Linked DNA regions of Rhinolophus ferrumequinum. The protein of the gene in region 2 purifies or fractionates together with the protein of the main gene of each other region. This does not show direct contact. Links are inferred from orthologs where the notes say so. Each region holds a gene or a part of one and is shown on either strand. Other genes may lie near its edges. The genes, in order: AKAP9, PRKAR2B and CDK5RAP2.

What was found.
Region 1: the proteins of PRKAR2B (region 2) and AKAP9 purify together in Homo sapiens (affinity purification with mass spectrometry; 3 studies listed by BioGRID and IntAct, counting the BioPlex papers as one, with this or other methods). This does not show direct contact. The link is inferred for Rhinolophus ferrumequinum from reciprocal best matches to the Homo sapiens genes PRKAR2B and AKAP9.
Region 3: the proteins of PRKAR2B (region 2) and CDK5RAP2 purify together in Homo sapiens (affinity purification with mass spectrometry; 3 studies listed by BioGRID and IntAct, counting the BioPlex papers as one, with this or other methods). This does not show direct contact. The link is inferred for Rhinolophus ferrumequinum from reciprocal best matches to the Homo sapiens genes PRKAR2B and CDK5RAP2.

What each region holds. Positions count from the first base shown.
Region 1 is NC_046303.1:34,138,492-34,142,241, forward strand, and holds the start of AKAP9 (A-kinase anchor protein 9), read right to left. Parts: upstream 2,368-3,750; 5' UTR 2,235-2,367; intron 1,438-2,234; 5' UTR 1,344-1,437; coding exon 1,284-1,343; intron 450-1,283; coding exon 252-449; intron 1-251. Other genes in the region: A-kinase anchor protein 9, read right to left, coding at 2,765-2,815. UniProt on the Homo sapiens protein: Scaffolding protein that assembles several protein kinases and phosphatases on the centrosome and Golgi apparatus. Required to maintain the integrity of the Golgi apparatus. Required for microtubule nucleation at the cis-side of the Golgi apparatus.
Region 2 is NC_046303.1:50,236,545-50,240,294, reverse strand, and holds the start of PRKAR2B (cAMP-dependent protein kinase type II-beta regulatory subunit), read right to left. Parts: upstream 2,613-3,750; 5' UTR 2,474-2,612; coding exon 2,167-2,473; intron 1-2,166. UniProt on the Homo sapiens protein: Regulatory subunit of the cAMP-dependent protein kinases involved in cAMP signaling in cells. Type II regulatory chains mediate membrane association by binding to anchoring proteins, including the MAP2 kinase.
Region 3 is NC_046295.1:71,104,259-71,108,008, forward strand, and holds the start of CDK5RAP2 (CDK5 regulatory subunit-associated protein 2), read right to left. Parts: upstream 2,229-3,750; 5' UTR 2,040-2,228; coding exon 1,981-2,039; intron 1-1,980. UniProt on the Homo sapiens protein: Potential regulator of CDK5 activity via its interaction with CDK5R1. Negative regulator of centriole disengagement (licensing) which maintains centriole engagement and cohesion. Involved in regulation of mitotic spindle orientation.

The DNA.
Region 1 (3,750 bases), about 16 Mb from region 2:
TAGATTCTCCTGAAAACTCAATTTAACATAGGCCGGTCATTTTCAAGGAACTCAGTAACGAGTATTAACTTAAAAATTTTTATTATAAGATTCCTAATTGCTTTGAAATAAATTTTAGAAACTTAAAGAGCTTTTCTGAATTACAAAATTTTGTGATTCATGTACATAACAAGATAAATATTTACCTACAAAACTTTAAAGTTAATTGTAAAGCTGCTGCAAGTTGGCTGACTTCTTTAAAATAAACATACCATTTCATACGCTTTAATTTTCTCTTGCAAAAAACTGATTTGCAATTTGAAGTCTTCCTTCTTTTTCTGATAATCTTCTAATAGATGGTCTTGTTCTTCTAGCTGCTGCTGATGAGTAAGAATCTGTTGTTTGGCTTGTAGTAAATCTGCAGCTGTGCTACTATGAGAGCTGTTTCTCAGCATTTCACTAGCTTGTAACTTGAAAACAGAAAGAAATCACAAGGTATTAAATTCTGCAGTGACGGCACTAAGGAATAGACATCTTTTGGGGTATTAGTTGGCTCACAAATGCTCTCTGGGAACTGTGCTGAATTTACAGGCTTGAGACCCCATCAAACTACTGCCATGGCTGACCAGATGAGTGTGGGCATGTTACCCAAACTGAACCAATAAGACTATCTTTCCCATGATCAAGCAGAGAAAGTAGTCTAGTGAGAGAGGTAACACTGAGACAGACATACTGAAAGAAATGGGGCCTGAAAGGCAATACTTCCTGGATTCCTGAGGACTTTCCAGTTTCTGATCCCAGTCCATTTCAGAGGCGTGGTGGTATTTCTGCCTTGAATTCTATTAAGATAAGCCTGTATCCTTATATTAAATTCCTCCCTTTTGCTTAAGCTATCTCAATTTATTTTCTGTTACTCCCAATCAGAAACCTTGATTAATACAATTAGACTCTTAGGGCTCTAATTAAAGGTAAATGGACTATATTCAGTCTAGTTACCATTTCAGACTCTAAAATAAAATCATACCAGGGTTGGCAAAGGTAGGATGTGACTACATGTTAATTTCTGCAAATCTACACTCAATCAGACTTATAAGGTTTTGTAGGATTTCAAAATACAAAGAAAGAAACCATGCAAAAAATATGAATTAAAGTCTTGGATAATATAACAAGAGGTATTAACTAGTTTTCCAAACATAATATGAAATAAGCAAATGGTTTTAAACAAATTTAAAATGGTAGTGGAAAGTGTGAAAAAAAATTAATTCCTTTCTAAAAATCTAATAAATTCTACTACTAATACTTACATGCTGAAATTGAATCTGTAATTTTTGACTTTGTTCTGTCAACTCTAAAAATTCTCTCATTGTCTCATCCTTTCTCTTCTTGCTTGTTGTAAATTAGCAGTAAGCTGGGTTATGATGCCATCTCTTTGTTTAATGGCTGCTTCAATTCTTGTAACTAAAAAACACCGATGAATAGTAAGTGCTAAACTTCTATTTTTTAACAAATCAATCATTATTATAGGTAACTGTTCTTCAAAAATATGATATTCACAACTCATTGGCAGAATCATTACAATTTGTAAGCAACCTTATTCACATTTGAAAGCTATTAGCTTGCAGGAATTGGTTTTACTTCCAAATCAACCTTTAAAAAATTATCTGAACTTAGAAACAAAACATATTAGGTCTGACTTATCCATATATCTACTGCTAGAAGGACAGTGCCTTTATATTCAGGGATGCTTCCATCTGTTCCTGGGCAACACCGTCATAGACAAGTTAAATCTCACTCATTTCTGGAGAGGGTAAAAGTGAAATGCGTTTTGTCATCCTCATCGACGTCCTATTTCATCTTGTTTTCATAACTGACTGCGACAAACAACACGTCACTTTAACCACAAGTGGTCACTTATAAGGACTCGCTGACATTTTTAATGAGTTTAAATCATCGTATTTTGATGTGGTTTGCACAATAATTTTCTCGCAGGTTGATTACAAAAACGTCTATTCTACTAAAGTGATTTCAACCTACCTATCCCATAATGTAAAATAAAAGAGTCCACGTTTTATTAGACCTGTTAATGAAATCCTAGTTTTAAAGAACGTGGTTTTGATATACACATAAGGACAAGTATCATCAGCTGACCTTAAGTTACCATTTAAAAACCCCATCTTTAAAGAATGTACGTACACTATCATTCAAATTTCCTATTTTTGTTTTTGTGAGTAACAAGACACATAAGGTAAACATACTTGCTGCAGTCCTTCAGTCCCATAGGTGGCCCTCATTTCTTCCAGTTCTCTGTTTAGTTCTTCAATATCATGCTGTTTGCCAACCAATTCATTTTCCATCATCTCTAGTTGGGTCTGATTGTATTGTGCTCCATGTTCCAAGTAAGAATCATCAACACCAAATTCTTCTTCCTAAATCAATCCAAGATTTTGAATAATTCAGTACAAACAACACTCCGCAGGAAGAATTAGTCAAATATTCAAAGCCAAGTCCACTTTAAAACATCACTCATCACCTGGGAGTTCACTGGTATGGCAAGCTCCATTGTTGTTAATGTGTTATGTACCTCAAGAGCAAAACAAGTTATCTGCAAATTCTGTTACAATTGAGTTTTACAACAAAGGCAGATAATTTTGTTTTGTTAAACCATTAAAGCATTTAAACATCACCCACAGAAAGAAATACATGCAGGAAAAAGCTTTGTTAGTAAGCCAGATGGTTTTAAATAATATAAAACATTAGTATCATAAGTAGTTTTAATACTATACCCTTAATAATTTGTAGGCTTTTCTGCTCCCACCACAAAACTGCAACCATTTACCTGTATAAAAACAATTTCCTGATATATTATGATTTTAAACAGAATTTTATTTAAAGCTAATAATTATATACCAGCTAACTGTATTCATGCCTCTTTTACGCCTAAGGAAAATGTCACATTGGCAGAAACAGATATAGTGTTTATCTAAAAGACATTATGACCATTTCAAATGCCAATCATTCCTCAAACATTTGAGTGCTTACAATCCAAAAGACACTGTAGTATACATTATCTTTAAGTGATCTAAAGTTCTAAGTGTAGTTTCTATTTTGTCTTCAGAAGGATAACTATAAACTTCAAGTTACTGGATCCTCTTCTACAAAATATTGCCTTAAAATCATTTAAATAATTGGTTTTTTTAATTAAGTCCTATTAATTTTAAAGTCAAACTGTTTACTGGTACAAATTAATTGAAGGTTGGCAAGCAGGTCAAGTTGTAGGAGGAGATGAAAAAGTGAGGAACACTCCCTCAAACTTTCACCTGGGGGTAGTACTATTATACGTATCAACCCTGACCAATGTGGACATTTTCTATAATATATTACAGCCGGTCTCTAGCTCAGGCATTTTGTGGAGGAAGAATGACTGATACAATATGTTTGCAGGGTTGACCTGGTGTGAGACTAATTTTAGATCAATTAATCTATTTAACAACCTCCTCTTCCTACCAGCAAGAGTATACAAAGGAACTTCACTCCTCCTCACATGTTAATTATTCACAATTCTATGTTAATAGAATACAAGATAATGATGTTTTTACTGTTGAAATACGTAAGGTAGAGTATCCCAGAATTAGAATTAGATCCATATGGACCACAACACTTTTAAAAATGAAGATCCTAATCAAGAGTTCTTTATCAGAGTTCGATTCCTTTGGGGTTTTTTCCCCTAATTTCTGAAAAACAAAGCTAAAGTAAAAAAACAAAAAACAAAAA
Region 2 (3,750 bases):
TTGGTAGCCTGTAATTGTTTTTAAACTCCAGGTCTCAACATAATTTATTTTTTAAAAAATAGGAGAGAACTGATCATAAAAGAAAATCTTTGGGTAGACATTTACAACTACACCTACTATAGGGAAGTAACATTGCCACAGTTCGTGTGTGAGTGTGTGTGTGTGTGTGTGTGTGTGTTGGGTTATGATCAAATTGTGTGTGTGTTGGTTATGATCTGGTTGCAGTCAAAAAAGTTTTTAAGCCCTTGGGGGTATGGCTGGGGCTAACAAGCACAATTGGTTAACAAGTATTTATTAAAACTCACTCAGTAATTTTTACAATAAAGGTATCTGGGAGAATATAGAACCATATAAAATGATTCCTGCTGCTTATAACTTAATGGATTATTTTTTTCATTGCAAAATGGAAATAAAAGCTGTTCTGTACACAATATACACTGTTGTAAGGAAAAAAATGGAATCATCAATGCCAATTACTTCAAAAGCATTATACAAACAAAAGATTTTAGCTATACTAACAACATACTGTATCAAACATGTATAGGTTCTTTACCAATTCCTAGTTTCCTCCAATCTTGGAACTAGCCCTTTTTTCCTTTGTGTGGGTGCATGTGTGTTTGCATGTGCGCATGTGTTTGTGTGTGCGCATGTGTGTTTGCATGTTGGAGCGTTAAAAGAAGTATTAGATGCCTCTGCTCTTTCTGTGTCATCCACTAATGGCTTCTCCTCTGCATCTATTTAAAAGATGTATTCTTTTTCCTTTCCTTGTTTCTAGGAAGAAAAACATTTGATTAAATTCTTGTGCAAAAAGAACAATTAAGACTGATCATCCTACCCTTGGAAACACTAAAAAATCCAAAATAAAAAAATTTAAGTAACAATCTTTCCTTTTATCTTTATAGAGCACTAATTTGCAGGGGTTTTGTGATTGTTTCAAACAAGCTAAAAATATTAATTTTATAACACATTTCAAGAATTTTGCAAAGAAAAGAAACACCTACCTGGGAACATACACAAGAAAATGACACTTTAAAATGTTTTCATTATATGAAATGCGCTGCAGACACACAAACCACAAGCAGCGTAAGTGAATAAAAGCTGGTGCAATGCTGAATGCAGGTTTGCCTTATACCACAAAGAGAAACACTTGCACACTGCACACATGTTGTTTTAGCTTGGGGTGCCACCGAGATGGGATCTAGGCATTTGTGTAAATACAGGAAGCTGTAACGTGCATGTGTGTCTGTGTGTGGAAAAGACGGTTGTAAGCAGAAGGGGTGGGACTTGCCAGGAGTAGCTATTCGAGAAAATCCCTTTTTCTCTCCCCCATTCATTCTTTCTAGCTTCAGTGCCTGGCACAGTCCTTACAATTACTCACTGGCTTTTCATTCTAAAGACAACCAACAAGCTTTCAAAAACTTCCTACAGTGTTTTTCACACACTTTTTTAAAACAGGCACCAAATCATTCAATATTTGTTTTAAATAAAAAGCAAACTATTAGCCCGTTTCCTCATTCCACAGACCCCGTGGGCTGCTTGCTAGAAAGAATCCTTTGTCGTGCATCTAAAAAAAAACACAACGCGGTTGGTAAATTGGAAAATAATAGATTACTCTGTTTCCAAGAATGTCAAAGCTTATCGCCATAAATTTTGTTCTGCCCCAGTGAGTACAATTTCATGCTCCTGTTAGAGAATTTGCCCTCCTAAACAAAGCCCAATCCAGCTGAACATCCCTCGCCTTTTCGCTCTGGACACTCCGTTAATAAACATAACGGCTGAAAGAGGACGCCAAGTGGGCCAATTTCCTTTATGCACAATGGCATCTGCCCAGCGCAGTATCGCCAACCACAGTGAAAAGTTGCCTTGCAGATGCCAACCCCAAGCCGGCCGTCCTGCGCTTCCCAGCCTAGGACCAGAGGGTGTAGATGGGCAGAGAACTCTAACCTCTCAGCTCCCGACCTCCAGAGGAGAGGACGAGAGGAAAGGCTGACAAGAGAACAGAGTAGGAAGGTGGGCGAATGGGAGAGACAGAAATGGATGCTGAGGGGGTGGGCAGGAAGGTAGGGAAGGTGGAGAATGCGGGGAGAGGTGAGAACAGCTACAGGATTCAACAGCAAAGGGGGAAACGGCGGTGGGGAGCGGGGGCGCGCAGGGGCCGATCCTCACCGTTGAACGCCCCGGTGTCGGCGGCCTCCTCCTCCTCCTGTTCTCCGTCCTCGGAGTCTGTGTGCATGGGCTCCTCTGCGAAGTTGACCCCTTTGCTGGGGGTGCCGCCCCCGGCGGCGGCGCTCGCGTCCCCCCAGGTCCTGCCCTCATGGCCCGAGCGCGCGGCGCCTTTGCGTTCGTTCTCCTGCTGCAGGCGCGTGAAGTGCTGCAGCGCGAACTCTAGCAGGTCCGCCGGCTGATGCCTCAGCACCTCCACCGTGAAGCCCTGCAGCAGCTCCGTCAGTCCCGCCGGGATCTCGATGCTCATCCTGCCTCCCGTGCGGCGGGCGCCTGGGCGCCGCCCTCGCCCCTTCCCCGGACCGGCCTCGGGCCCCGCGGGCGCCAAGCGAGCACGGACGGCGCTGGCGGCGCTGCCGACTGCGAGCGCGGAGCACTGGGCCCCAGCGGCCCGGCTGGCCCGGCGCGCGGCTCACGGCGCGCGGCTGCTCCGAGCGACGGCGGCGGCTGAGCGAGCGGCCCCGGGAGGGCTGGCAGCATCTCCGCTCCTCCCGCTCCGCCACGGCCGCTCCTCTCCGCCGCCCCCGCCCCGCCCCGCCGCGGCGCGCTGGAGGAGCGCCGGAGCGCGCCCACGTGACCCCGGAAACCATGGCAACCCCGCCGGCAGGGCGCCGCGCACCCGCCGCTCACAGGGGCCCGGACGCTGGCGGTCGCCTGCGGGCTTGTTGGGAACGCTGCCCGGCGCGTCGCCGAGGTTTGGGGCCCCCACTCAACACTACCTCGGGTTTTGCCCCCGCCGACCAGGCGCGCCTCGCTGTCCACCTGTCCGCGTGCCCGGAGCCAGCGGGCCACTCCGCCGAATTCCCACACGTCATGCACCGCGGGGAACCCACGCAGAGCCGGTGCCACGCGATTTTCCCTGAAACTTCAGCCTCCACCTCGGTAGCGGCATTTTATTTTCCTCCGAGAACCTAGTTGCATTGATAAGTGTGGGTAAAGTCTTTTGCTTAAAGTCAAAGAGTGGTACTGGTTCTCTTTTGGACAAAGAAGTGATACCCCATCTTTGTGACACCTTTCTTTTTCTTTCACCACATTTTATCCAACCTCTCTCCTTCCATCCTGTTGAATATGTTTTGCTTTACTAATACTGTACTATTGTCTGCCCTGTGTATTTTTTATCATTTAATTGTGAGGCACTTATCAAAGTTAGTCGATGCCTTTCAAACAGGATAGTGCAGCAATTGGAATAAAATGTCATGGTCAGGACAGACGGTCCTAAAGGAAGACAAGCTTTGCTTGATTAGGCTCTTATTATTCTAAAAGTTTCCCTTATGCTTGAGTGATTTCGAATGATATCACCAAAAATAAGAATACTTCAATATAAAGAGAAATAGAATTAGAGATGTGTACTTTTAAAGTAGAAATCCTTGACTTTGAAATGAGGCTTCTTCTGCAAATATTTACAATTTTGAATTATAAAATTGTCTTTTGACAATTAAATGCTGGTAAAAACACGTACTTCATTTTCTACAATGACTACCATACCATTATAAAAAAAATATTTCAAGAGCAAGCTCACTTAGTTAT
Region 3 (3,750 bases), on a different chromosome or scaffold from region 2:
TGTCAGTGAAGGCTTCCTCGCAGTGACATCTAAAGTGAGACCTGAAAAACAGTAGGCATTAATATGGCAAAGGGGTGGAGGGAGGGCAATCCAAGCAGCAGGAACAGAAAGTGCACAGGCCGAGAAGTAAGAAAGGACAAGGCATTCATGACAAAGAATCTGGCAGCCAGGTGAGCCCGGGGAGAAGACAGGGTAGGGAGAGGGAGGACCAAGGAGGCTGTGAAGTTGATGGGCCAGACTAGGAACGACCCTAGAAGCTGCATTAAACAACTCCATCCTGAGTTTGGAAAGGAGCCGGGGAGGGTCTGAGCAGGTGAGTAAGAGATTAGTTGCCAGGAATATATGCAGCCCCTTCTCCCTGCGAAGTCAGGGAGAGGAAGGAAGGGAGACTATCTGATGATCTGCTGAGTTGCTGGATCAGACACTGGGCTAAAACGCTTCTAGACTCACCCACTTTACAGATGATGAAAACTGAGGCTCCCAGAGAATAAGTGACTTGTCCAACGTCACAGGATTGATAAGTGGCAGAACTGGGATTGAAACCCACCAGCTAGGTCTGGCCAACTAGCACTGAGATGAGAAAAGCTGTCTGAGAGAATAATGGACTTTATCTTAACGGCCATGAGAAGCATTAAACATAAAGTGCAGACTGTGATGATCAGATGTACATTTTAGAAAGAGCTTTCAAGCTGTGGTATAAAGGACTATTAGGGGCATGAAGGAAAATATGACAATCCAGGTGAGAGGTCGTCCCCCAAGATATCTGGGTAGTCTAGTAAGATGAAGAGAAAGGGACATGAACTGCCACAGGATCCAACGAGGCAGGAGCTGCAAAGGGCCTTCTCGACCTTATACACAGTAGGTTCTCAATAAACAAAGTAACCATTTGTCCAGGTTTGCCCATGATTGGACCTGTTTATGCCTGCTGTCCAGGCATATGTATTAATTGTGCCCATTTCACTCTTAAAAGTGTCTGGGTTTACACAACAAATAACATGGTCACCCTTTCAATTAGGGTCTGTTGACTAAAAGAAGCAGCCTGTCCCTAGTAGATTTGGATAAACACTGCGGATTCTCAGTCAGGCTCTCCTCTGCATCCTTCTACTCACTATCCAACCAGGAGCCCTGGGCAACCAAAGGGCCCTGGCCCTGGGGCCATGCCCGGCTCTGCCAGGCCTTCCTACCAGAAGGAGAGAGACCGGCGCCACCAGCAATGTGGACTCCAACTGCCTCGTTGGGCAGGTCCTTTGGGAGGCCACTCTCTCGACCATTACTCCCCATTCTACTGACAATGATGGAGGCAACACAGTCAATTTTTTGGCACTGATTATGTGCCAGGCACTACACTTGCCAAACAAACTACTGGACAGGGGCAGACACCTTCTCCTTTAACCCTCACCCCGACTCTGTTGGGTGGATTTTACTAGTAGCCCCATTTTACAGACGAGGAGGCAGGTTGAGCCACTCTACCAAGGTCACACAGCTAGTTAGTTTAAAGGGCTGGACTTGAACCCAATTCTGTTCAACTCCAGCCAAGGTTCTTAACCTCTGCCTCAGTCTTGGTGGCCACTATGTGACCCCCTAGCAAAGTCTGCACAGACCAACTACACTCACCATAATGACAGCAAACTCCCAAGGTCCTGCCCCCAACCAGCCTCCACTAAGGGTCCACTCTAAGAGGTCCCCCTTGTCCCGCTCTTTCGGAGAATCCCTTACCTGTCCCTCACATCCCCTTCCCCGTATGTCCCGAAATACGAGAGGCGGGTGTGGTGCAGGTCGTACCCCCCCGCCCCACTCAGTATCAGCTGGTGGGTCCCTAAGGAGGCACCCCGCACCCCAAAAAAACCCACCTTACACACTGCCCCTGTCTGCAAACCTTCAAACACCTTCAAGAGCAAACCCCAAGTCTCCGTTGGAGCGAACCCTCAACAGCTGGAACCCCGACCCGGTTATCGCGAACCCCCAAAATGCGGGCCGCACCTGCAGCCGCTGAGCGTCCCGGGGAGGGTGACGTCCTCTTCCAACACCGAGTCCATCATGGACACAGAGGAGGTGGTAGCACTGGTGCTTGTGGCAGCGGCACCACTGGTTCCCCACGCGGTCGCGACCCGCCGGGTTCCCCAGGTCCCCGCCCCCTCCAATCCAGCTCTTGTTCGGACTCTGGCGGCGCCGCTGGAATTCAAACCGCAGCCGCCGCCATCTTTCCCGGCGCTTCTTCCTACGGAAACGAGGCGGGGTCACCGAGGAGCTTTCACTGAAGCCGACCGGCTGCGGCCCGAAGCCGGGCAGGGATGCGCGGGCAGGCGCCATCTTAACAAAGGGCAGGGCGTCCGCATTGGGGCCCGCGAGTCGAACGACAGAGGGGCCAGCTGCCATTTTTTGTGAGGGTATCCAGGCCGAGGCGGGGCGGGCGCCATCTTTGCTGAGGGCGAAAGCCGGCCTCGGTTGGTTCATTGAAGCGGGAGTCGGGAATGCACCCCCTCACGGATGCTCAGAATTCGTAAAACCTGGTGTGTGTGTTTCTAGGATAATGACCCCGAACCTTGCAGTGTGTGCTTCCAAAAGGCTTCTGCCTTGTCTTGAAACTCAGATAATCGGGTGCTGCTTCGCTTTAGAAAAATCCAACCTGTAGAATCCCAACTCAAGTAGTAATTTGTGCACTTAGTTTGAAACAAACAAGCTCCTTCCTATGAGCCAAGTGGTCAGCGGCACTTACTATGCAGTCTGTCGCCTAATGATTCCTTATTACCTCTAGGGCTCAAACGCACCTGAGGTCGGCAAGCTGAGGCACACAGAAAGGAAATGACTCGCCCAAAGTCATGCACAGTAAGTTTGTCACCTCAAGCCAGATCTGTGGCTCCTGCCAGCTGCATCAGGGATCTCTGCATAACCCTGGCGACCTTCCTTAAAGCAGAGCCATCACCAAACACCTGGATAATTGGGGCAGAACTTGGCCAGTGAACTCAACCTTCGTCTCCCCATCTCAAGGTTGCTACCAGGAAAGCCCTGGATGAAAATACCTTGAAAAGATGGGCAAGTGGGTAGATGGTGACTTTCCCTACAATCATGTATAAGACCACCCGCACCGTCAGTTTCCTCCTTCTTCAATTGAAGAGTTACTTTCCGAAAGAGGCCTTCTCTAATTCTCGAAGGTAAATCAAGCCCTTTCTTATAATCTCAGCAATGGTGTTTTTCCTTCGTAGCACTTAACACATTTTGCAAGTATAACAACTTCTGCATTTGGGGGTTTTTTAATGTCTTCCTCTTGCACTAAACTGGAAGCTCCATAAGGGCAGAGACTGTGTTCCGAATTGTTTACTGTTATATCTCCCATAACTATCACACCCACCAGGTGTTTAAATATATATGTTGAAGGAATGATTCAATCAATCTGGAAAATGGGGCTAAAACCTACTCTGCAAGGTTTTTGTCATGAGGTAAGAATGACCTGAGATACCTTTAGTAACTCAGTCAGTGGTAATCCCATGTATCCCACTCTCTCTCTCTCTCTCTCTCTCACTCTCTCGCTCTCTCCCTCCCTCCGTCCCTCCACCCCACCAACCACCACCTCAGTAGTAAACCTACAAAGCTCATAGTGATGGTGTATACCTGTCCCTCTTGCTTCCCCAGATCTTCAACCACTCCTAGAATCAGCAATAAAATAACAGTCTGAGAGAGTGTGCAGAAACCAGCAGCATGCCGCATGGCCTGCCCCAGGGAAGGGGCAATCCTTGAACCCCTGAAACCAAC